Linked DNA regions of Lytechinus pictus. The protein of the gene in region 1 interacts with the protein of each later gene in a pairwise test. Links are inferred from orthologs where the notes say so. Each region holds a gene or a part of one and is shown in the gene's direction. Other genes may lie near its edges.

Region 1 (12,959 bases):
TTAGTATTGACCTTTTTCAAAACCCTGCACAAAAATCTTAGGAATTCCTGTTGAACTATTAAAAAAAAAATCCATCCATACTAACTAGTGGCAATGGAATACTTATGACATGTGATTTGTTAATTTCCTGATGATAAAACAAATGCTTAAGATTTTTCGAGCATTCCAATTTGTTGTAACACCAATAACCTTAAAAGTAAATTTGATTTCTTTATGCTTGTTAAACACATATTATTTAGAGATTGCAAATGAGTTACCAAGTCAAAAATACAAGTTTTGTGATATAGGGAATTGGCTTTAAAAGGGTAATGAATCTGGCTTTATTTGGTGTGTGAATTATTTTTCTTCTCAAATTGCATATAGTCTCAGTCTGGTTTATTCAGAATCTGAATAGGGACGTGTGTCTTTATGGTATATGCATTAAACACCACTCTTTAATATACTCTTGTCACCTGATGTGGCTTGATAAGCACCTATTACTGTTTTATTGTAATGCTGAATTTTGGTATTGAAACGGGTTTTATTTTTGGCGCGAGAATTCTTTTTTCCTAATTACAATCAAATCTATTATGTATTGTTTAATCAGATCAATTCCTGAAAAGAGACTTTTTCTTTATATGCATTCAACATCACTCTTTAAAATGTACTCTTGTCACCTGATAATGGTTTGATAAACACCTATGTCTTTATTGTAATGTTAATGAGTTAAGAAAATTCCAACAGTTAATTAAGAATACTGATTTCAAATACTATACTAATTACAATTTTTGCACCTATTATTCAGATTATCCAAATGAGTAAAGGCCACCGCACACCTTACGACCCGACTGGTCGGCTACTGGCTTGCGACTGAGAGAGGGGAGATGAATCGCAAGGTAGTCATAAGCCACGACACCGCACACCTTGCGATCCGATTTGCGACTCACGCATGCGCTTTTTGCTTTTTGGCATAACAACAAAGAGAATGCGTTTACTACTGCGTATGCGCGTTGTTTATCATATACGCGTCGTGCAACTCTGCTGTCTGATTGGCTGGAATTTGGATTGAGCTTGCGATCCAGTCATAAGGATTCGACATGTCAAATCCTTCCGATTTTCCTTGCGACTTGTCTCTGACCGGTCTGCGACTCTGAAGCTGACATGCGCTGTGACGTCACATCTCCCCTCACCCAGTCGCAAGCCAGTCGGCGACTGGTCGGGTCGTAAGGTGTGCGGTGGCCTTTATACCTCGGTCACATTTGCTCTACGGCGGCCATACGGCGAGTCAAAAACAGCCGTTTTAACATTTTGTGTACCAGCTACATATAGGTGCATGGTTTGAATACAAATTTATAAAACGGCTGTTTTCGACTCGCCGTACGGCCGCCGTAGAGCAAATGTGACCGAGTGTTTTATTTGGCCCGTGAATTCTTTTTCCGAATTGCGCAGAATAATCTATTGAATAGGGACGTGTGGCTTTATTTGCATTCAACGCCACTCTTTAACGTACTCTTGTCACCTGATATGGCTTGATAAGCACCTACTACTTTGTTATGGTATGGAACGAATAAAAGAAATGCCAACTAGTAACTTAGAATAAATCCATTACATAATTCCTTTTTTAAACTCGGTTTGGAGAGGATACTGTAAAGTAAATGAGTTTAAAATAATATCCGTTTTGTGATAGAAAATTTCTTTGGAATCGAATCATTTTCACCACCCGCAAAAATTTTCACAATTTCTTGCAATCAAACTGCTCTGTATCGCTTAGAATAATCTACTAGTATTTGAATAGAAAGCTATAGGCACCTGTAACTTATGTATTTACTAAGTTCAAAGTCGTAATCTTGAATTTCATCTATGTAATACGTGTCGATAACCTTTAAAGAGGTCTCGTACAAATCTGTGAACTCCAGGAAAGGGGATGAACTTGCGCAGACCCACAATCGAGCATTCTTATCTTACAAGTCCTCACAAACTCATATTGTTTCTTTTCTTTACAAACGCTTTTTTTCTTCTTGCTCCCAAAATTGCCTGTCTTAGAATTTTTAAAAGTCTTCTTCAATGACATTGCTCTTTCCCTTTTTACTCTATTTTGTTTTCTTTAGTTTACTCTTATTTTTCGCTGCAGGTATTGCTTTATCCCTACGGCAATGCATTGACCAACAGAGCCTTTGGTACATGTATACATCATTGTCACCTCTCTTGACGATCCTGTCAGCGGCGTAACAGGGGTCGGTGGCCAGGGGGGGGGGGGGCAAGAGCCAAAAATTTCCCGGTCATATCATGGAACAGGCAATGGCGTCATAAGGCAAAAATTTTGAGGGGGCGATATGGCGTATCGGGCAAATATATATATATATATAAGCGAGCGAGCAAACATTTTTGATATTTTTATTGCAAAAATCCAATTTTTAAAAGATTTTGACATAATGTTAAAAGATGATATCATATTCACCCTCCTCTCTCTCCTTTTTTCTCTCTTTTTTGTACGCCACGGTGAACATGATTTTTGTTATGATTGTGAGCATCAGGGCGAAGCTCTATATGCTCGAGGGGGGCGAGTATGGCGCTTGTGGCAAGAAGTAGCTTAATATAGGTCCCGAGCGAGCTAACATGAAGATAGATTTTAACGTGATATTCAGAAAAATATGATACACTTTCCTTTCTTTCCTCATTTTTTTTTGGTTTGGTTGTAGAACTGTTGGGGGCCATGGTCCAAACTCATCCATATAACAGTACGGTGCTTTATGGGTGGGGTCCAGGGCAGAGCCCCGGAACCTCTTGATATCAAAGCTATTTTAAACCTTACAGATGGCCACTTATTTAAATCAAATTGCGTGTATATTTATATAGCTTTAACACAACACATACATTCAATGCAGTTGTGTATCGTAATCATCCAAATATTAGGGGCACACCATAGCAAATGTGGGAAAATTTGTAAAAAGTTGCAAGCGAGCGAAGCGAGCCAGAAAAAAATGGCCTGTTAAAATGAAATTCTAATTATGTGATAGATTTTTACATCATTATAGCAAATATCATGTCATATATTTTTTTCATTCATCTCATTTCGCTGCCTCCTTTATTTTCTTTTATTTCCCCTTGGCTGTGGAACCACCCCCGGTACGCAAGTGCTTCAATGTAAAGCTTAATGCAGGAAGGGTCCATATATGGGCCCGTTATAGAACCCATTAAAGGTTACAGATGAAGAGCCCCCACTGCACGGGGTCTTGAGTCTTGGACAGAGCCTTTGGAGATTTAGCAAGTTTATGATAGACTTTCATACGACATTATGCTATATACCATTCATTTTTCTTCCCGCTCGTTATCTCAATCCTCGGCAGCCCGGTAGTGTACGTTATCTTGTCCCTATTCTTTATTTTCCAATTTAGATTTTGGCTAATTCCATTCTGCCTTTATTTCCCGCTTTTGTTTGCCTTTTTGTCATCTTTAATTTATTTCCCTGTCTTACTAATCATGCTAATGTATTTGTATATCGGGGCGAATTGTTTTTTCTCACTTGTTCTTTTTTCCTTCCTTTTCCCGTTATCTTTCCGTTTTCCCTTTTTCATGTTTTTTCTTAGTTTTCTTTTCCCTTTCCCTTTCCTCCTTTCCTTTTCCTTCCCCTTTCTTTCTCCCTCCTTTTTTTCTTTTTCCCGTTTTTCTTTTATTTTCCCGGTGAAATCCGCCAGGGGGGGGGGGGGGGGGCAACTTGTCATAATTTACTTACCCACTTGCCAATTTGAAATCTACATATAAAGTCTCAGGGATCTTAATTTTAAAGCAGCCATAACTTTATTTTTGCTTGTCCGATTTCTTTCAAACTTTCACCATTCTCTCTATTTTTATAATCCTTGTCATTAACCGAACATTTCATAACCAAGGCTGGATTCCCCTTTAACATTGAATATGAATCTTTACCCAAAATGAATATTTGTGCCAACTTTTATGAGCACGGGCTGAAAACTGAGAAGTAGTTTAATCTACAATGTGGTAAACATGGCAACACACTGTCTGACAAATGCAAAAAAAAAGAAGGTTCTTGCAAATCTTTACCCCAAGGCCAATGTGTGAGCAAATTTCATGAGAATTAATTGGTTCAAAACTGACGAAGTTCAAATCGCAAGGTTTTTACCAACTTTTTGCCATATAATGTGTTGTTACCATGGCAACAAGATTTCTGAAAGACACAAAAAATGTGTCTTAGACATCTTCACCTCAAGACCAATGTGTGTACCAAATTTCATGAGAATCGGTTGAAAACAGAGGAAGTATAGTTCTAACTGCAAGATTTTTTTACCTTATTTTATCATAATACACTGTTACCATGGCAACACAATTTCCAACACATGCAAAAAATGTGTCTTGTATACGTCTTTACCCCAAGACCAAAATATGTACATACACAGCACCAACATTTAACCCCCTCCACCACCCTAAGCTTCAGCTTGTTTATGCATCTGCATTCAGACACTTGGTGCATTGATATGTCAATTCACCACCTCATTATTTGCGCTATGATTACAATGATATTTCTTAAAGAATTATTTTTGTCTGCTTCAATATACAGTGCATATATCTCTTCCCCCTCTTTTCTCCTCTGTTTAGTTGGACCTTACCTCCAGAACAGTTATATTAAGGCTGCGTTTATGCGACCTCAAGTCAGAATCATGATTTGAATCATGATCTGAATCATGATTCAAAACACAAACATGAATCACAATATCACAGAATCAGCGTTTAGACGACCTTCATTCCAATGCTGTTTCTCCTCAGATTCGGGCCAATCCAGTGCGCATCACACTAGTGCGCAGTTTGACAGAGGAAGTTTTTCGCACGTGTTTCGGCTCTCGAAAAATCTTTTGCTTCCAGAATTCAGTCTATACCTCATTTTGTTTATTTCTATCATATACTTTATAGGTTCCATATGCTTCTATTCATCTTGTTAGTTTTTCCAAAATGGTGTTCGGAAGTGAATTTCAGCGTAGATCCAATTAATGTTGATACTGTATACTCAACAACAATTGAGATCATTGTCTGTCCAGTTAATTCATTTTCTAGAACTTGAAGTTGAAGACATGACCAAAAAATGAAAAGTAGTGGACGATGCGATGACCAACACAGAACTTGAACATGACAAGAAATGCATGCGTAGTACATAATCATACAATGAGCATATAAGAGCGCCTTGAGCTTGGCAAGAGTCAAATCGAAAGTAGCCCGACACAACAGTGAGGTCATAGAATCATGATTGTAATCACGATATCGTTTATTCGAACATTTTCGTACGTGATTCTGCAGAAACGTCTTTCCAAATGCCCCTTTTTTCGTGTTTCATGTTTGTGATTCTAATCATGATTATATTCAATTTCGACTAAACGCAATCGTGATTCTGCAGAATCATGATTTGAATCATGATTCAGATCATGATTCTAGGGTAAAAAAAGTGGCGGATAAACGCATCCTAAATTAATTTTTGCCATTACACTTTTCCTGTAATTTGATATGCTTGCCATATTACTTAAATAATTACATGTACTTTGTATATTTCATTCTATGATGTGCATCCAACAATTGTGTTTGCTTTATTGTAATTTGATTCAATTATCTGTCAGTAAGGATTTAGTATATAGTTAAATCTTTTTTCTTTTTTTTCAATTAATATTTCAGAATAATGCTCAAAAGTAGTACAGGCTGATCCTTTATATCCATTTGGTACAGTTGATTTTTTTAAATTCCTCTTTAGCAAAACTGCTGGGGCACATAAAAACCTAAGAATCTCGATATCATTACTATATTTTTTTAATTATTATTATTACTACGCAGTTCTTAATTTCTCTACTTTTTCTTCATCAAAGGAGGCGAGTTTCCTGTAATTTTACTATTTGTTGTCTCTATGATTGTTATGTATTAGGTGCTGGAGCCTGGCGAGTAGGCCTACGTCATTAATAGGAATGTGGAGGCATGCTAGCTCTTGCTGTTGTCTAGGGTATTCCTCCTTATTACATTTCATTGTTGCTTTTCGGGCTCTGGTACCTCACACAAATTTAAGTTATTTTTGTGTTTTTTATGTTAAGCATTACACACATTCCTTAATCAGTCCGGCATGGGTATTCAAATTCTTCCCAATACCCCTCTTTATTTCTTTTATCTTGCCTGGCGTTACATACTTTTTAAAATGATGTTGTCAATGTGTTTTATTTGAATTTTAATAATGTGCAATTTTATATATTGAATGTGCAATACTCTCTCAACGGTTTTTCCATGAGGGCTCGCATGCCTCTGGGCAATAAATAGTACTGAATTTTACTTTTGCGAGCCCTGGCCCATGGAAAAACCGTTTTCTTACTCTTTTCTTCTTCTCTTTCATTTCTACTTTATCCATATTTCATTATTCAATTTCAAATTGTATTTATGTAACTACATTGTACAATTTTTGTATGTTTTTTATGGCCAAATAAATAATAATAATAATAACAAACAGAATATTTAAACATAATATCTGTTAAAAAAAGGTTTGAATTTTAGAACTAAGCGGATGCAAAATAATGCACTGCTATTGAGTTTTACACTGACACTAGTCTTTATATTAGAACACTTTAAACTCATAAATTCTGACATTTTCACCCATATTTTTCACTAAACAGTTCCTGCAGCCAGATTTTTTGGAGCATACTCTATTTTTAATTCTTATCCATAAACAAAGGTCTGGAGAAAAAACATGCTTTTGTCTACCATGTCATTTGGCCCCGTGGGAGCAAATAAGAGCATATTACTAGTATATACTTCCGGATATATTACCGGTATGCATGCAGCATATGATCGATCGATCGCGCGCGCGCGCGCGCAGCGCAGAAACAGATATAAATGCAAGACGTTTGCTGCATGGCGGATGTATCGCTACTCTCCCATCAAGGAATTCATTATTTATAAAGGTTAAAGGTACGGCATGTTAACAAGTTTATTGAGATTGACACTGGTTCTACATGTAGCCCATTATTATTAATGAAGTTGTGAAGTAAAGACCGGAAAATCTTCCGGAGAAATCCTTCATTTCCGTACCTGATCATGCTGATGTGATGTGATGTGATACCGTAACTCATATTTTTGGACAGTGCTTAGCCTTAACGTACGCGGTACGGTACCGGTTCGTACGGTACGGTACGGTAGTCGGTACCTCTCTCTAATACATAGTACCGGTACGGTAGGTGATCCAAGCCAGGAGGCTTAAGTTCTAGAGAGTAAAAATCATTTACTGACGTAGGCTTACTCTCAATGAAGCCAGGTTCTCATTCACCTACACGAAGGACCCCAAAACCTAAAACTTTTACCCCCGAGATTTCTACTTTCCTTCTAGTTCTAATAGTACCGTAATAGGGCCTACTATAGTATAGGCCTACTTAGTAATGCCAATGGATCTAGCCCTAAGGCTAAATCATGATGTACCGTAGCCGTAGGCGTAGGCCTTTACTGCGGCAGCCCGAAAACGTAGGACGTCGTGTCGAGGTTCCCGGGGCAACGTAGGCCTATGCCTGTGCCTGTGGCAGTGAGTCCAAACAGTAGAGGCGCACGGCCAATATGGGAGACTCTCCAATACTAAAAATAGGGGAGACAATCTCCCACATTGACATTGGAGACTTGCTTTGCAAAAGGACAAAAGAAACAACACCAACAAAAGCATGATTTTTTCCACCCAAAATTTTGTGTCACTGAGGTCAGAAGCCCATTTGTTTTGTGTGTGATTGACAACAAAAATCCTTATCAAAACAAAATTAGACGGTGAAATTTTAAAGTAGACGGTGAAAAGGAGTAATTTTTTATGAGGAATCTGCAACACACCAGTGTGTTGGCTCAGTTGGTAGAGCGTCCGTCTCACAACCGGGAGGTCGAGGGTTCAAACCCTGGCCGCGTCAGACCAAAAGACGTAAAAAGATGGGAGTTGCTGCTACCCTGTTTGGCGTTCAACGAGTAAAGGGAAAGAGCCTCGTCGATCTGGCGCTGCACAGCGGCTGCCGGGCCCACGATCAATTGGGCAAAGCAAATTTTCAGAGCATTTCATGTCATGTCTATTTTCGAACAATAAATTATGGATTTTCATTTCATTTCATTTTTTTTCTTATCACATTTTTATTTGCCGCCAAGGTAATCCTTTTGGAGCAAATGTAAACAAAGGAAATTGGTCTCCAAAACTGGAGACTGTCTCTGAAATTGGATACCCAAATTCTTTACAAAAGTCTCTGATATTGGAGATAATCTCCCACATTAGAGACAGTCTCCAATATTGGCTGTGCGCCTCTACTGCCAAACTTCGCGCGTGTCCATACTTCGCGGACGGTCATTATCTAAAAAACTAGCCAATATCCTTAAAATCTGACGTAATCAACGTGAAAAGCGACCTAAAATTACCCTTTGGTGTAAGTTTCTTTAGGATGAGTTCAGTATTCATGAAAATATTGGCAAAAGATCGGCAAATTTGTCACCGTTAGCGCCCACTTTGAAGAAATCTGATATTCTCAACAAGCATCACGATATCACCATTTTGCAAGCAGAAATCATCAAAAATGTGAGTTAAATGTGGTACTAACCGATTCTATAGCATTTTGCCATCAATCTGATATAAATATTTCACTTTTTGAGCTTGAGTTTTTGTTTAAATGTCCACAAAGACTTTGGTCCACGAAATTAGGTCACACTTTTTCTGAACGGTTTTCCAGCACAGCGCGCATTCGCCGATCGGAATAGAATTTTGAGATCGCGATACCGGCGAATCCCCTTGACCTACTTTACATTTTCATCCATGATTTTATCTTGCCGTCAATGTGGTTACTATTTCTTGAATTGGTTTTGTATAAATTATGAATATTTTGTGAAAACATTTAAGCCTGATGAATATTTTTGAAAAGTGCGCGAAGTATAAGTTTGGACACCCCATCATACATAGGATAAAAACTTCATTTCCGACATTTCTACGCTTGTTATTTTTAAACAAGAATCCATCAAAAAAATGAGAAAAATATTGTGAAAAGACGGAAGAGACTTGCGTAATGTTGGCGAAGAACAATAGGAAACAAGATGGCGGCGTAAACATCGGGCAAGTCTCTTCCGTCTTTTCACAATATTTTTCTCATTTTTTTGATGAATTCTTGTTTAAAAATAAAGAGAGCGTAGAAATGTCGGAAATGAAGTTTTTATCCCATGTACATGATTTAGGGCTAGATCTTTTATTTTTTTTAGAAGGAAAGTAGAAATCTCGGGGGTGAAAGTTTCAGGTTTTGGGGTCCTTCGTGTAGGTGAATGAGAAGGAAGACCTGGCTTCATTGAGAGTAAGCCTACGTTAGTAAATGATTTTTACTCTCTAGAAGCCTCCTGGCTAGGTGATCCCTCCATTGGAGATTCTCAGAGACAAATAGATCAATTCCCAGTCCGGTAAGTTAGAGATTCAACATCAAGTTGGAGCGGTGGTCATGAATTTTATGTACATTCGTACTGCAGCTGCACTGCACTGGCAGTGCATGTGCAGAATATCGAACCGGTCTAGTCATCATGTATTGTAATACCGGACAGTCATGGACAGTAGTACCGTAATCATGTCAGTGCTCGGCCTCGGACAGGTAAAGGTTTTTGATGACTTCGTAGTCTCCTTGAACCTTGAAGAAGTATGATGGGGTGACCATAATTTGCGCACATTTTAGAAATCATCATGAAGTTGATTTTCATTCAAAAATTTCTCACAGCTCACACAAAATTAATCAAAATCATGAATACCAAACGGAAGGCAAGATCCTAAAGTCAAATTTGCTTGACGGAATTATAAAGTAGGACAAGGGTTTCGCTGGTATTGTGATTTCACAATTCCACGGCGATCGACTAGTGTGCGCTTGGCTGTAAAAGTGTCATAAAAAGTGTGACCTTAATTTGTGCACAATCATTTTGCAAGGCTTTAGAAAAGAAATCAAGCAGACAAAGGTAACATAATTGTATCAGATGGAGGTTAAAATGCCATAAATTCGGTTGGTATCACATTTTACTTACTTATTTGGAGACTTCGCTTGCAAACTGGCGAATTCTTGATGCTTGTCAAGAAGGTCGGATTTTCTTGGAGCGGACGCAAAAGGTAATAAAATTTGCCGAAGTTTTGCAAATATTTACATTAATCTTACCTTCAAGAAAATTAATATACGGTACTGGGTAATTTTAAGTCGCTGTTTCTGTTGGTGATATCATTTTTTTCAAAATATTAATTAGATATTGAGGTATTTGCCCGTGCGCAAAATTAGTTAACGCGCGAATTAAGGTCACACTACCATACTCTCCCAAAAAGCGTACACGCTGTCCTGGAGATGATCAATAAATTTACCTTGCCAAGTGCTAAAGAATATTCTTGCATTGATTTCAATGCTTATTTCATGGCCTGCCGACGTCGGCGATTATCAACAAGACTAGCGATAAAGACGATAACACTAACAGCCCATATTGGTGGTGTCATATTGATGCAAGGCTACTGAACTACTCAGTACTCTTCTTCTATTTACTCCAGTGTACAGTGTATACACTTGGCTAAAATGTATTCCCCCCCCCCCCAAATGCTTTACTTCAAATTGTGGCATTTGCTCCGGCGAAATTTGCTCAGCTATTAATTCCACACACCACTCAAATGACCAACTTCATCCCTGGATTCAAAGGGGAATCCAGCCTTGGCCTTTAAATGTCATGTTGGAAAGGAGAAAAATAGATTAAACAGAATGGTGAAAGTTTGAAAGAAATTGGACAAGCAATAAAAAGTTACAGCTGTTAGTATGGCCTTAGACCAAAAGCTTCAGTCTCTGTATTTTGGTTGTTCCGTTGAACTGCGTTGGCTCCACTCACCAATACATAGATTAAAGAGTTGTTGGCCCGTACGTACAGCCAACGTATTAGCAGTAACGTTAGATCACTCATTCAATGAACAAGGTTATGATATAACCTTGTTCTCAGTTATATCTCCATGTGTGGCAAAATAAGGTTGACAATGTTTGGATTATTTTCTCTTTTTATTTGGGACAAATGCTTGATTTTTTTACACTGACAGTTTCCATTACACCTATTCGTCATACAACTTGGCCCTTAAGTAAATTTGATGATTTAAATTATTTTTTTCTTAATTAAAAATAGCGATAAAAAAATGAAAATTTTCTTGCCATATTATTTTCCACCAATAGAGGGCGTACACAAAAATATGCCCAAAATTCAAGTTTTTGAGCGCTCTAGTGAATACAAAAATTATTCCCAAGTTACTAAAGAAAAATAAATTGCAATTGTATGGAAATTAGTAATTTATATTAACGTATATTTTCTTAGAACTTGTATAGTATCAAAAGAAAGATTAGAGTCTAACGAAAATAGTGGGCCTTCGTTCAAGATAATATAATGTCATTTAAAAAAAATAAAAATAAAAATCTAGACAAAACCCGGTCGCCCGAGTTGGTGACCTGATTACACATGCAGGCTCGCACTAACACACTACCGTCAGTGAATGGGGATTATAGTAAAATGTCATAAATTGTTAAATAAATACCCAGAAACGACGGTTATTCCTGTCTAGTATGGCCTATGCCAGGAAAGTTGTCCCTTCCCACTATAGGGAATAGGGATCTCATTTTCTAAACATCTATGACTTTCTTGTTGGTTGTCAAATTTCTTTCAAACTTTCAATATTCTGTTTTACATATTTTGTCCTCAGTATTTATGACCAAGATTTAATTCCCCTTTAATAATGCATCTTTATTGACCTAAACATTATTTTGCAGGATTTAAAAGAAATAGAGGATTACATTTACAAGGAATCAGAAAAGATGAGTAGCTCTGAGGAAGTATCATGGATTTCATGGTTCTGTGGACTTAGGGGCAATGAATTTTTCTGTGAGGTGAGTCAGTAAACCCAAAAGTCTCTTAAGTAAGGGTCTTTTCACATGTGAATCTTGAATCATCATTGTAATGATGATTGCAATTCGTCTATAGAATCATCAGACCTTCCACACGCTGACTCGAAAACTTTGATTTGAATTCGAATTCCTGAGCGAAGGCGGTATGTGCCCTTAGTGACTTTTCAATCAAAGCACTGCATGGCAAATACAAACTACAATGAGTGCATGACAATTGTATTATCTATGGAAGTGCTTGATAGGACACGTAAGCTCCGCCTCCAATAGATGTTTTTGAGGTCAAGCCTTTCACACACAAAATTTGTATCATAATTTGAGTGAAACTTAACTAGAATTCACCTCCGGAGTAGAATTTGAATTCATGACTGTGATTAGCATTTGTGATTATAGTTTCGTTTCACACGTGCTAAAAATTTGTCATTAGCCTTATTTTTTACTGGAATCATTCAAATTACGAATTTTTTACCTTGTGAAAGGGCGGTTAGTCTCCATGAATTTTTAGAGAGTTTACCTGCTGTCATGTGATGTGTTCTACAGCATCTTGTTTATTTAATGTGTACATTTACATGTTTTTTTTTTTTTTACCCATGTTCAGGTATTTTATGCCCAAATGCATTGTTGCATACAATGTACACCTCAATGATACTATCTTATGCATTGTTCACACAGAGCTGAGTTTGGTGTACAAGTCCCTGCAAACTGGGGGGGGGGGGGGGGGGAATTGTATATTTTCAGGATTAAAAAAAAAAAGATTAAATAGATCACAGTATGAGTATAGAATTTGTGTACAAAAAAAATTGACAATTCCTTTTGCCCATTTAACACTTGCGCTGGTCAAAAATTGTATCTGCCACTGTATCAACAACGAAATAGAATCCATTCTAATCGGATCTATGCGGGTGCACAAAATATTTTGACAAACACATTTAACATGAATACATCCTCACCTTTCACATTATTAGCATTATTCTACGGTCAAAGGAAATTTCATCGATAATTTGGGGTTTTTTGGACATCGTTATCAGCAGTCAACGACTTCCGCCTTTCCGCCATTTT
Region 2 (12,387 bases), on another chromosome or scaffold:
GGACAGAGTGAAAAATATAAGGCACTTCAGCGTACGTGCATGCTGTCATCACCAGTTTATTCTCGATTCTTAGTGAAAGGTGCCTCAAGTGGTTGGGGCATGTTCGCCGCATGAAACTTTGGCAAATCCTAGAAGGGATTCACCAATGTAAGGTGAGCTATGTGATTGGTCTCTAGATAGATCACACCTCTGTTATAAACACATCTGCAAACGTGACATAAAACTTGGCCGGCATTAACACTAACACTTTTGAAGATGTAGATGATAGTCGTCATCTATGGAGAGCTACTAAGTACAGGGGTCAATACGTCAGAAAATAATCAGAATGCTACATTGGCACTTGGCAGGCCAAAGACCAAGGAGGAAGGCTAGGGCAGCATCACTATCTGAACCTGTTTCAGCGCCATCCTCATTCATCTGTACAAATTTGCTTTAGAGACTGCCTTCTTCTTCTTCTGTATCCTTCCTCCGCTGTATCGGAGATCCGCAGTTTAATACTGCATTAATATTAGCGTTACATATTTTGACGTGAGAGTAAGGTAGACCGAGAGAGGTAAATATTATGCAAGAAATTTAAGACAAGTAGGTTGAGGTCGTTTCTGGAGAAGTCTGCTAATTCGACGTCATGAAGAAACAGGACGGAAGCGGTAAATTGTTGAGGTTCTTGATCATTGAAATGCACAAAAAAATACTGCAGTTCCTCGTCTTCTTTTATTAAGTTTAGAAGTGTTTTCCTGTGTGTGCAAAACGCTGGGTATTCTCCAACAAAATGTACAACACTTTCCAGTTCGGAGTGGCAGAACTTGCCGGAATTTGTGGTACTTTGATTCAGAGAGAATAACCTTCTATTCGTTGGGTATGTACTGCAGGATAATTGAGCTCTGATGGACATAGCTTCCCTCAGGAGAGGGCCATGCCCGACCATAGACTTAGAGAAGATTTTTTAGCAATTGCAATTTCAAGGGCAGCATAGTGTTGTTTATAAATTTTTCCCAGTGCTAGCTTCTTCCATACTTTATATGGAATGTGATCTCTAAGGATGTTAGTGAGACTTGGAAGTTCATAACTATTGAGGATTTTTATCCAGCGTCTTACCAAGGGTGTATTGTATGATATACCATTCAACAGGATTCTTCTCTCAGTGCGCTCGTCTGAAAGGCTTGCATATTGCCCAAGTAAGAGAAGAATTTCATAGTCGATTCGCTTATCCATTGGGATGATATCGAGCAATAAATAAACAATTTCGTCCGCCGCACTCCTTGGCAAACCAAGCACACTTTTAAAAAGAAATGTTTGAGCCTTGTTCAAACGGGACAGCATGTAGTTGGTGAGTTGAATAATCTGAATCCCATATAGCATTCTTGGTATGCAGAACATTTTCCAAAGATGAGTACATATTGGTGGCAGCAGGCGTAGAGTTCCTTGCTTGGTTCCAGTGAGAGAGAAGAAGGTGTTATATACAAAGGTATTGCTCATCATTCTGGGGCAAGGGGTTCAAATTCAAGTTTAAAAGATGGCATCTGGCGGCCATATTGGATTTGACCTGAAGATGACCTTATATTGCAAAAATAATAATAGAAATGGATTCGACACACACCTAAACCCATAAAAGGAGTTCTTCCTCATCATTTTAGGGCAAGGGGTTCAAAAGTTAGTTTTTTAAGATGGCATGTGGCGGCCATTTTGGAATTATGCAAATTAGCAAAATTGCCCAAACGGCAACTTTGGGCAACCAAGCTGAATTTGTTCTAGGACCCCATAGGAACACAAATCAAGAAAAAAACTTCATCGGAAAAAACATTTCTAGGTTCGGAAAGTGTCAAATCGACTAACAAGGGAGACGTATCACACACACATCTATGAAAATATGAAATAATAATGATTTCTTCTAAAATTCTCTTCTTCAACCTTACAGAGTTAACTAACCATGAAGGGGATTTACTCTCAAATTTTGATTGCATGGGCATTTAAGACTGGGTATTTTTTACCTCTACCCTTTTTACCTTTGCCATTTTTACCTTTGCTATTATTACCTAGAGCTACCATTTTTACCTCTGCCATTTTTACCGTTGCCATTTTTACCTCTGCCATCCCAGGACAAATTTCAAATTTTACCTCTGCCATTTATAAAACCAAACCGATTTCTTCACAAGATTTAACACACTTACTTATAGAATGGTTTTCCCGAATGCTCTCTATAGAACTCCTCAGCTTGACCTCTGGTCAGCCTGGTCATCTTGGCATTGGTCACCAAGAATCCTTGCTGGTATGTCATATCAATAATGGGACCTATACGGGGAGGAAATCAGCAAGATTTGAGCAGATAAGACGCTCCTATTTTCATTACGGTAATATTAGATTGTGAAGAAGATTAATGATGATGATGATAGTGGTGATGATGGAGGTGGTGGTGATGATACATGCTTTCATTTTTATTAACGTAGAGGATGACAATGATGATACATGTATGTGCTTTCATTTTCTTAAAATAATGGTGGCGGTGATGATGATGGTGGTGGTGATGATGATGACGATGATGAAGGTGGTGGTGTTGATAATGATGATGGTGATCATAAATGAAGATGATGATTATGGATGATGAATGATGATGATTATGGATGATGATGATGATGATAATGATGACGATGATGGTGGTGGTGATGATAATGATGATGATGATAATGATGATGGTTATGATAAATGAAGATGATGATTATGGATGATGAATATGGATGATGATGTTGGTGGTGGTGATGATGATGATGATGGTGGTGGTGATGATAATGATGACGATGGTGATGATGGTGATGATGATGATGGTGGTGGTGATGATAATGATGACGATGGTGATGATGGTGATGATAATGATGGTGATGATGGTGATGGCATAACTTTTAAAGCATCAAATCCACTCTGCATTCGCTATGCACTGTGCACTCTGTTTTTAATCCATATGAACAACATTACATAAATCATGAATAAAAGTTCAGGATTTTGTAAAACAAGATCTTCGTTAAGTCAACCATTGTCTTCAAAAGACAAACTTAGTTTAGTAATTTACAAAACAAATAATGTATGAAAAATAAGTGTTTGTATATACTCACCAAATTTTGAAATGGCATCAGGTTTGATCAGCCCTAATGTCCTGAAAAAGAATGAAATGAAATAGATCATATTGTATTCCACAATATAGGCTACTATCTAACCATAAAAAAAAGATCTAGAGGAATTACTGAGAGATTTTCAAAGAACAAGTAGAAAACAAGTTTTAAATTACTTGATTAGGGCATGACGACCCTGAAACGCAAAAAGATAGCGCCACAAATTTTTTTGACTATTTTCTTTGAAACCTCGCGCAACTTTTGAGACCAAATTCGCAACATACGGGTATATGTGTACCGTAAGTCTAAGGGAGATATGACCTTTGACCTTGGTCATGTGATGTGAAACTCAAGCTGAATGTTCAGTAATACTTGATTAACCTTATGTCCAAGTTTCATGAACTAGGTCCATATATTTTCTAAGTTATGATGACATTTCAAAAACTTAACCTTAGGTTAAGATTTTGATGTTGATTCCCCCAACATGGTCTAAGTTCATTGACGCTAAATGACCTTTGACCTTGGTCATGTGACCTGAAAATAATGCAGGATGTTTAGTAATACTTGATTAACCTTATGGCCAAGTTTCATGAACTTGGTCCATATACTTTCTAAGTTATGCTGTCATTTAAAAAACTTAACCTTCGGTTAAGATTTGGTGTTGACGCCGCTGCCGCCGTCGGAAAAGCGGCGCCTATAGTCTCACTCTGCTTCGCAGGCGAGACAAAAATTGGCTTTCAAAACTTTTCTTTGTGGAAACCTTTAAATTAGATTACAAAGGTGACATCTGGAAAAAAGAAGAAGAAAATTTGAAGTGAAATTGGGTGTTAAATATGAAAATGTTTTTCACAAATAAATTTACATACTTTATTCATAATAAATAAAACAATTGTTTTCAGAATTTTTTTATACCTGTAGGCTCGTAGTTTCTGTGGTAAGGAATGTGCATGCCAAATATTGGCGTGATCGCGCAAATGGCGGCCAAGATCAGAAAAAGGGGGGCATCATGCCCCCCCTAAGTCCAGGGTACAGGTACATCTCAAATAGTCCAGTTCGTTTAGGGTTAAACATATAGAGGAAACATTGAGAGATTAGAAGAAAAAAAAAACAAGAAGATTATGAAGTTTTAGATTTACTCAATTCCCAAGCATGATACCATGTTGAAAAACTCTAGTGTACATGTAAGATGAGATCAAACTGGCATTAGACCAAATGGCAAGGATTATTAGAATTAGACCAAATATGGCAACTCGTTATTTTTGCTTATAAATACTTACTTCTGTTTGACATTTGTAAGCGCTCTCTTCGTGAAATCATCAGCATACTCAACCAGGTTCAGCTGACGTGAGTGAACATTAACAGTACTGCCAACAAAGAGGTCTCTTAGATGGACTGAATCGCAATGTGATCTCTTCAAGAACTGACGTCTATTCTTTAGGTCATACTGATAAAAAAGAAGGAAACAAGATTCAAATTAATTGAATTAAAGACCAAGTCATCCCAATGACAATTATCATTTGAACAAATTAAGATAAAACTGACAATTTTTAGCGTAATATAAGGAAATAAATAAGGCTGTTACTTCTCTGTTTTTATATAGATTATGCAAATTAAAATCAAGGTTTGCCATAATTGTAAAATTCAAATTCTTCAGTGATATGTACAAAACATATAAAGATTGCTGCTTCATCATTATAAGTTTTGTAAATCAAGTAAATCTTAGAAAAACATTGCAATTAATAGATAATACAAGCACTATATATGCGGATTAAAAACCCTTATTTTGAATACATGCTAAACACAGTAAACAGATGTGAATGGAAGATTTTTAATTGATGGACAGTTGTGTTGTTCATTGGATTTGCTTTGATTTTCATAAATTTAACTGTATTTTTGATTCAGTAATTTCAGAGGCTATTCATAAATTTAAACCTGTCTGAAAAATAATTGAGAAAGATTAAAATCTAACTCAACTTGTGATTGATCTAAATAGGTGTACCGTAGAAAATGTTGCATCAATTGCAATTCGAACTAGATTTTAATCTATTTCAGCTTTTTGCAACACAAGTCCCAGACGTAGGACAGGAATATCAAGTGCCGAAATACACGTATGTGTAGATTCTTAAGCTTCAACAAACTCTTGAGGTTTTTAAACAAAAGTGCGACAGTTTTTCCTCATATCAAAAATTTGGACAAATGTTGGATCAGAATTCATTGTGTTACAACATCTGACTTCATTTTATTTTATCAAATAATTTAAGTTACAAGGTTTCCCCTTCATACAATAAACAGTCATGTCATCAAATTCATGAAACTGTTCATTCATCAAAATTGAATCCCCACAAATTTGGGTTGCACATTTTCTACGTTGGGGAAGCGTTTGAGACAGGGGCCAATCTGATGCAAAAAAAATGCATACTGAGTAACCATTGCCATCTGGGTGGAGACGGGCAAAATGTGAATTTGTTTGTTTAGCAAATATATGAGATGACCAAGGCATTACAAACAAGCTTACCATTTCAATGGTGTTATCATTAGGGTAGAAGAGGAACTGATATCGTCTGATAATAGCTGCATTGTTGTCGTACCATTCACAAATGAAAGAGTAGCGACCATCTTGGGCAGAGCTTGCCTGCATGCAAAAAAGAAAGTTATTTGATAATATTAAATTATTGTACTTTTACAGTGCTTAATACATTGGAACCACATTTTTAGTGCTTGACAGATATAGGATTACCCCACTCATCAAATACTGGTATTCCGCAGGCAATGTACGCACTTTCTCCATTCCCTCAGAGTCTAGTCTTTAATTGGTGAGAGTAATCTTTATCGTATCTTTCGGTATCAATGATTATAAATGTTTCGTTAAACTATATTTTGATGACGTTTGGAATCATAAAAGTCCGTATAATTATCATCATTTTACAAAGTCAAAGAAGACCGTTATGGTTTACTTTTGTAAACTATTAAAATTGGGTCTCCCTGGGGTACCCATCTGAACGTCCACAACTGTACAAGTGATTTTTTAGTCATGAAATGAATTATTCATAATTTAATTTTCTCTACAATTGAATGCTCCAGTCTTCATGGTCTAAGTATGTATGATGCATAATTTACCTGTGCTAGTAAGTAGTATTTTGAAAAGATTTATTTACCAATTCATCATAATATTTGCAATTTTGCCATAATTTTTCTTTTTGAAAATAATGCTATTTTGTGACGGCGTCTAACTGACTCTAAACTTGTCTAAGGCAAGCCTAAGGCTACGTCTCGTTTGCTCTTTTTACCGATAGTATCGATATCAAGGAATTCTAGCATGTCTAGTTAGGAAGACTTTCGATGAAACAGGTTTAGTAAGATTGGAACTAACTCCGTGGTTGGTGGATAAAGATATAACTTGTCCATGTGTTGAGAAATTAAACGGGCCCCTGCTCCACTTCCTCGAGCGCAAGCGAGCCTTTGCCTCGGCCTCGGCGGAGGAGCTCCGCCTCCGCATGCCGCTCGGCTCCAGCTCGAGCTCCGCAGCTTGCAAGTTAATAAGTGGAAATAGGCAACTAATGAATATATTACATATTTATTTGATACAGTAGCCACTATAAACACTCACCATTGTTAAGCTTGTGTTCTAAGCAGTCTTCTCTCCTGAAAAGTGGAAAGTTCGATAATTCTAACAAGTAAGTTTGAGACGGTCTGCTGCAAAATTCGTTTGAGGTTGTCAAGCAACAAATTTTGAGTAAATCAAAAGTGGGGTCAGATTAAGAATTTTTTTTTTTACAAAAAAAGGATTAAAAAATTTGCGTTTGAATAAACAAAAATTTTGTAATGGATTATTATTTTTTTTGTAATAATTGATTGTAAAAAAATATAAAAATCAAGCAAAATATAAGTAATAATATTCAAGTCTTTAAAACTTATCGGCACCGTTATAGATAGGTGCGCGCCCTCTTCGTTAATTAAATTATAGGAGTTTGAGAAAGTCGAGACGAAAACAGAGACTTGTAAGACGTATTTTCTTGATTGTGAACGGTAATTGAAATGATCAAATCCATGAAACATCATCAATAAATCGACACAAGTGTATGTGCACTGCTCTTCTTAGCTTGTTCACGTGAATCTGAAGAAACAACGAGTAAGATGTCGATACCTCGACCTGCCGCAAATCCGGAAGTTGGCAGCGGGGGATCTACGGGTCTCGGTCCATCAGGAACGCCAGCGGTAACCGGGACTGGGACGTCGGCGAACCCCAAAAGTACCGACCAGAACCAGAGACTATTTTCCTTGAAGAAATGGAACATTGTGGCGATGTGGAGTTGGGATGTGGAATGCGATACTTGTGCAATTTGCAGGGTTCAAGTCATGGGTAGGTGTTGTCTTTTTGAATGCCCACATTCCACAATTCAATCTAAATTGTAATTAAAAAAATATAATATACCGGTATATATTTTCATTTTTTTTGTGAGACTGACTGAGCTGAGACTCGGACTGAGTTTGAGAAAGTGAGAGAATCAATCTAGGCCTATGCTATATGTTAAAAATAAATTTTATCTTCGTTGAAAATATAAACGCCGGCCAGTCACTTTCACTTTGTCTTTGAAATAAACAATGATTGTCGGCCGGTGGCGTACCGCCGTAATGCATTCCCATTAATTATGTCTGACATGAGCCAAAAATTTTGAGGGGGCCAGATGTTAGACGTGGCATATCGGACAAAATTCATAAAGTTGAGAGTGAGTGAAGCGAGTCGGAGTGAGCGAAGCGAGTCGGAGTGAGCAATAATTTTGACACTTATTACAAAAATCCAATTTTTTATGGATTTTTACAAAAAGAATATTCAGATAATAATATCATATTTCACTCTTCATGCCTTTCTTTTCTTTCCTCTTCTTTTTTGTGAATTGTGGTCATAAATTTGTCTCTTTTTTTCATGGTTGTGATGTTAAATTTTTTTGGGGAAGGGGCAATTAATTTAAGTGCCCCCAGCCCCCTCTCATTCGTATGCCACTGATCATTGTGCTCCATGTCTCTTCATCCATTCACCTTACTAGATTATGATTCAGGTATTTTGATGAGGAAGGCAGTATTTCTTCTCTTCAGTCATGTTTGATATTCCTTTAAAATGCGTGTGCTTGAGTCTATTTGCCAAGTTTTCATTTATTTAATTGTGCTACATGTATTGAGTATGAGTATTCCATTGCCAGCAAGCTTAGTTTGCAAAACCTCACAATAAACATATGTAATTATTTTCTTTCAGATGCCTGCCTAAGATGTCAAACAGAAAACAAACAAGAAGAGTGTGTCGGTAAGCCAATCGGTCATATTCCAATGTAAAGGCCAAGTGAAGTCCACCTAAACCTGAAGTCGATGTGAATTATAAGAGGAAAATTACTTGTCTATAATTTAATCAAAATCATGTTAACAAAGTTTGTTAAATAGGAGAGTGACTGTGACAGAAATTCATTGTGACTCTGTGGGATATTTGGTATTGCTTTTTCATTTGCAAAGTACATGTTTCTTATATTTTTTTTCAATTTTAAGTTTTAATTTTATCCCATTTTTTTAAAGTAGGGGTAATACTGATACATGTAAGGAAGCTGTTAAAGATTTTATCAGGCTAATTCTATCAAACCATTCTTTGACATTTTTCTTTATTTATCTTCATGCTTTGCAGGAATAGGTAATGAAATGTTATGCAGATGGAAACTTGTTGATAATTAGTTAAAACAGAGATGTATTGATTTGGTTTTTAAATATAATTGGGTTTATTATTCTAATTCTGTCCTTTTCAAAACAATGTCCAGAATATTTGGTTAATTTTCATATCTATCATACTTGAAAGTGCAATGTCGCCCTCTGCATTTTCTGAAGTGATATCTCATGAATTGAGCTGCTGAGTGCAATGTATGCATATTACATGTACAAGAAGGGCCATTTGCAAGAAAGTTGTACTAGTAATCAATTATCAATTATTTTAATAATTCACGCACTACATGCCTGAAAATGTAAAAAAAAATCAATTGATATTGATTAGCTGATTTCCATAGTTTCAAGTTCAACTGTTTTATAAATGCACATCCAATTGCCAATAATTTTCTTGCCATGCCCTCCCTCCCCCCCCCCCCCCCCCCCCCCCGTGTAAAAGTATCTCCATGTAATTCTTATTTCTACATCTCCGTATCAATCCCTTTACCGGTCTTTTTCAACTTTATCTTTTCAAGCTACCCGATGAAGCCTCCCCCCAGCCCTTTCTCAGTTTCCTCGTGTCCCAGGCGCATATCCAGCATCAGATTCTACAAAGCATTTCATGGGCCCAATTGTCTGGGGACAATAGGGACTCTATTATGCTTGTGCATGGGCCCATACATTTCTTTGTCTTAATTGATGCTGGATACACTAGTGTGTCCCCTCCATATTTTGTTCAATTTTATTAAAGGTCAAGTCCACCCCAGAAAAATGTTGATTTGAATAAATAGAGAAAAATTAAACTAGCAAAACGCTGAAAATTTCATCAAAATCGTATATAAAATAAAAAAGTTATGACATTTTAAAATTTTGCTTATTTTTCACAAAAGAGTGGTATGCACAACTCAAATGAGACAGTCGATGATGCCCCTCACTATTTCTTTTGTTTTTTATTGTTTGAATTAAACAATATTTCATTTTGTATAGATTTGACAATAAGGACCAACTTGACTGAATCATATAGTATTTAAACAATGCCCATTCCACATGTTCAGGGAGGAATTAATCGTTGTTTCACTTGACAATGAGGAGAAAAATAGAATATTCCCTATTTCATGTAATACAATACAAAAGAAATAGTGCGTGGATGACGTCTTCAGTCTCCTCATTTGCATACCCACCAGGATGTGCATATAACTGTTTAGTGAAATTAAGCAGAACTTTAAAATGTCATAAATTTCTCATTTTACATCTGATTTTGATGAAATTTTCAGTGTTATGTTTGTTGGATTTTTCTCTTTTTATTCAAATCAACTTTTTGTTGGGGTGGACTTGTCCTTTAAGTTTCAACTTACATGCATTTCTCTTGTCTTGTTCGGTAGAGCTTCCTGTAGGTTGCATGTTTTTCCTCTTATTTTCATCCGTTCTTCTCTTTCTCTTTGATGCAGTTGTGTGGGGCGAGTGCAATCATTCCTTCCATAACTGCTGCATGTCGCTTTGGGTCAAGCAGAACAACCGCTGCCCTCTATGTCAGCAGGAGTGGATGGTTCAACGCATAGGAAAGTGAGGCAACCACACCCTTCGTCTGTTCGATCAATACTGCCCTCACTGGGGGTTTAAGGCACATGACAGTGATCACCAAACTTGTGACTTTGATGTTAAATCTTGTAAGGATGTTCAGTGTTCACAACTCCACAATGTCTTGTGACTGTGATTTTGGACATTGTGCTTCCAGAGTTCCAGGACATGTTAAATTCATCGGGCATCTGAAGAGGGTTGCTCAGTGTTTGATCAGAACTGTGGACTGATGGACATAAACATGTCCTAAACTTCAGATAATGATAATAATTGATATTTGTGTAGCACCTTTCACAAGATATAACACATACATGTACACCATCACAGGAGGGAGTTTCACAAAGAGTTATCTGTCACTTAAAGTCATACTAATGTGCCGCATTTACATAATATTTAACGCATGATCTCCTTGATGAAATTTGAAAATTACTTGACAGGGACGGTATCCATCGAGTACAGTGGGTAGTTAGATATGAGGATATGGAATAACTTGGGCTTTGAAATTTCAGTTGAATCAATCCAATATTGATGAAGATTTTAGAAGAGGTTTGACAATATAGAGAGGTACAGCAGTATGATTCAGATTCAGAATATATATGTGTAGTAATTGTAAACAGGCTTTGACAGGTTTCCAATCAAAGCAGATTTGTTTCAACAAGTCTGGTCACTCAGATTATATTCAGTAATCCACTTGATGATTTCACATAAGGTGTTGGGTGCTTATAGATTCATTTAGACAAATCTAGTCACTCTGGTTATAACTATTCACAATTTTAATCCACTTGATAATTTCAGGTACTAGTTTGGTGTTACATATACACAGATGAGGCCAAAAGTTTACATACACCCATGGATTTCAGTGAAATTTGTTAGCCTGCCAAACATCGTAAAATTTACTATATCTTCAGAAATATAAATACTTCAATGACAAATTTGGTGTTAAATGGAAGAGTATATTAAGCTCTTTCACATGATTGGGATGAAACTGGGATTAAAGTATATTTCAGGTGGAATTTTCTTTGAAAAAAAAAGTAATATTAGTGCCAAATGTATTCTATTGTTTATTATATTTTCAAACATCGTTTCACAGAAATATTAATATCTATGATTTATATCATGATATGTCACCACTGAACAAAAAAGTGGAATCTGAAATGTTTGTGTTGAGAAGTAACTAGCACAAATATGAAATGTTTTTGTCAAGTTTTTATTTTTGATTTGTCTAAAATATGAAGAGTTTTGGGGAAAAGATGACACCTAAATATTTTTCAGCTCCTGATATAAAAAGCAATGTGATGAAGGGGCATGACATAGTCATTTATTTGATATCGATTTCGTCATGATAGCACAATTTTATAAGGTACAGTAAATTTTATGATATTTGGCAAGTGTCAACTTTTTTTTTTCTGGATGTATGTAAACTTCTGGCCTCAACTGTAGGTGGTGTCAAAAATAAATTCATGCGAACAACCTACTACTCTTTATCAAGTGTTGTGTTCGGGATTGGTGCTGGCATTGGTGTTAAAAATGTGCCACTGGGCTGCTCGTCTGAGCTCTAAAATTGACTCTGGATTCATTGGCCCATATTCTGAACACAGGTTTAAATTAAACCCTGGTTTATAGTTGTGGATTAAGTATGGAGAGCCAAGTGGGGCACAAATCCTTATCCATACAAATCCAATTTATTAACTCATTTGACACTCAAATTGTTCAGAATTGTCTGGGAATGATAACTAAAGTATTTTTCTTCATTATGAAAGCAAAAGGAATCAAAATAGTTAACATAAGAAATATACAATATAAACAGAATTTTTGGCTCCCCATAATTTTAGCACAGAGTTAGACCTTGGTCTAATTTAAACCCGACTTCAGAATACGGGCCATAGCGTCGAAATGTGTGCCTGGTAACATCATGATGCATGTTTGAGATCATCTGGGCCCAGTCTGACAAAGGCATGTGGTTGATCCTAGCAGTATCAACGACGAAAATTCATCAATGAGTATTCCTTCATATAGAAAATGTACACAT

Evidence for each region.
Region 2: the proteins of casein kinase II subunit beta (region 1) and RING-box protein 2-like interact in a two-hybrid assay, tested with the Homo sapiens proteins (2 studies listed by BioGRID). The link is inferred for Lytechinus pictus from reciprocal best matches to the Homo sapiens genes CSNK2B and RNF7.

The regions. Positions count from the first base shown.
Region 1 is NC_087259.1:823,542-836,500, reverse strand, and holds the start of casein kinase II subunit beta, read left to right. Parts: upstream 1-6,833; 5' UTR 6,834-6,924; intron 6,925-9,341; exon of another isoform or gene 9,342-9,408; intron 9,409-11,768; 5' UTR 11,769-11,813; coding exon 11,814-11,885; intron 11,886-12,959. UniProt on the Homo sapiens protein: Regulatory subunit of casein kinase II/CK2.
Region 2 is NC_087260.1:9,042,902-9,055,288, forward strand, and holds RING-box protein 2-like, read left to right. Parts: upstream 1-7,026; 5' UTR 7,027-7,235; coding exon 7,236-7,461; intron 7,462-8,352; coding exon 8,353-8,400; intron 8,401-10,228; coding exon 10,229-10,347; 3' UTR 10,348-11,832; downstream 11,833-12,387. Other genes in the region: nucleoside diphosphate kinase 7-like, read right to left, coding at 2,169-2,289, 3,105-3,145, 4,379-4,545, 5,617-5,739. UniProt on the Homo sapiens protein: Catalytic component of multiple cullin-5-RING E3 ubiquitin-protein ligase complexes (ECS complexes), which mediate the ubiquitination and subsequent proteasomal degradation of target proteins.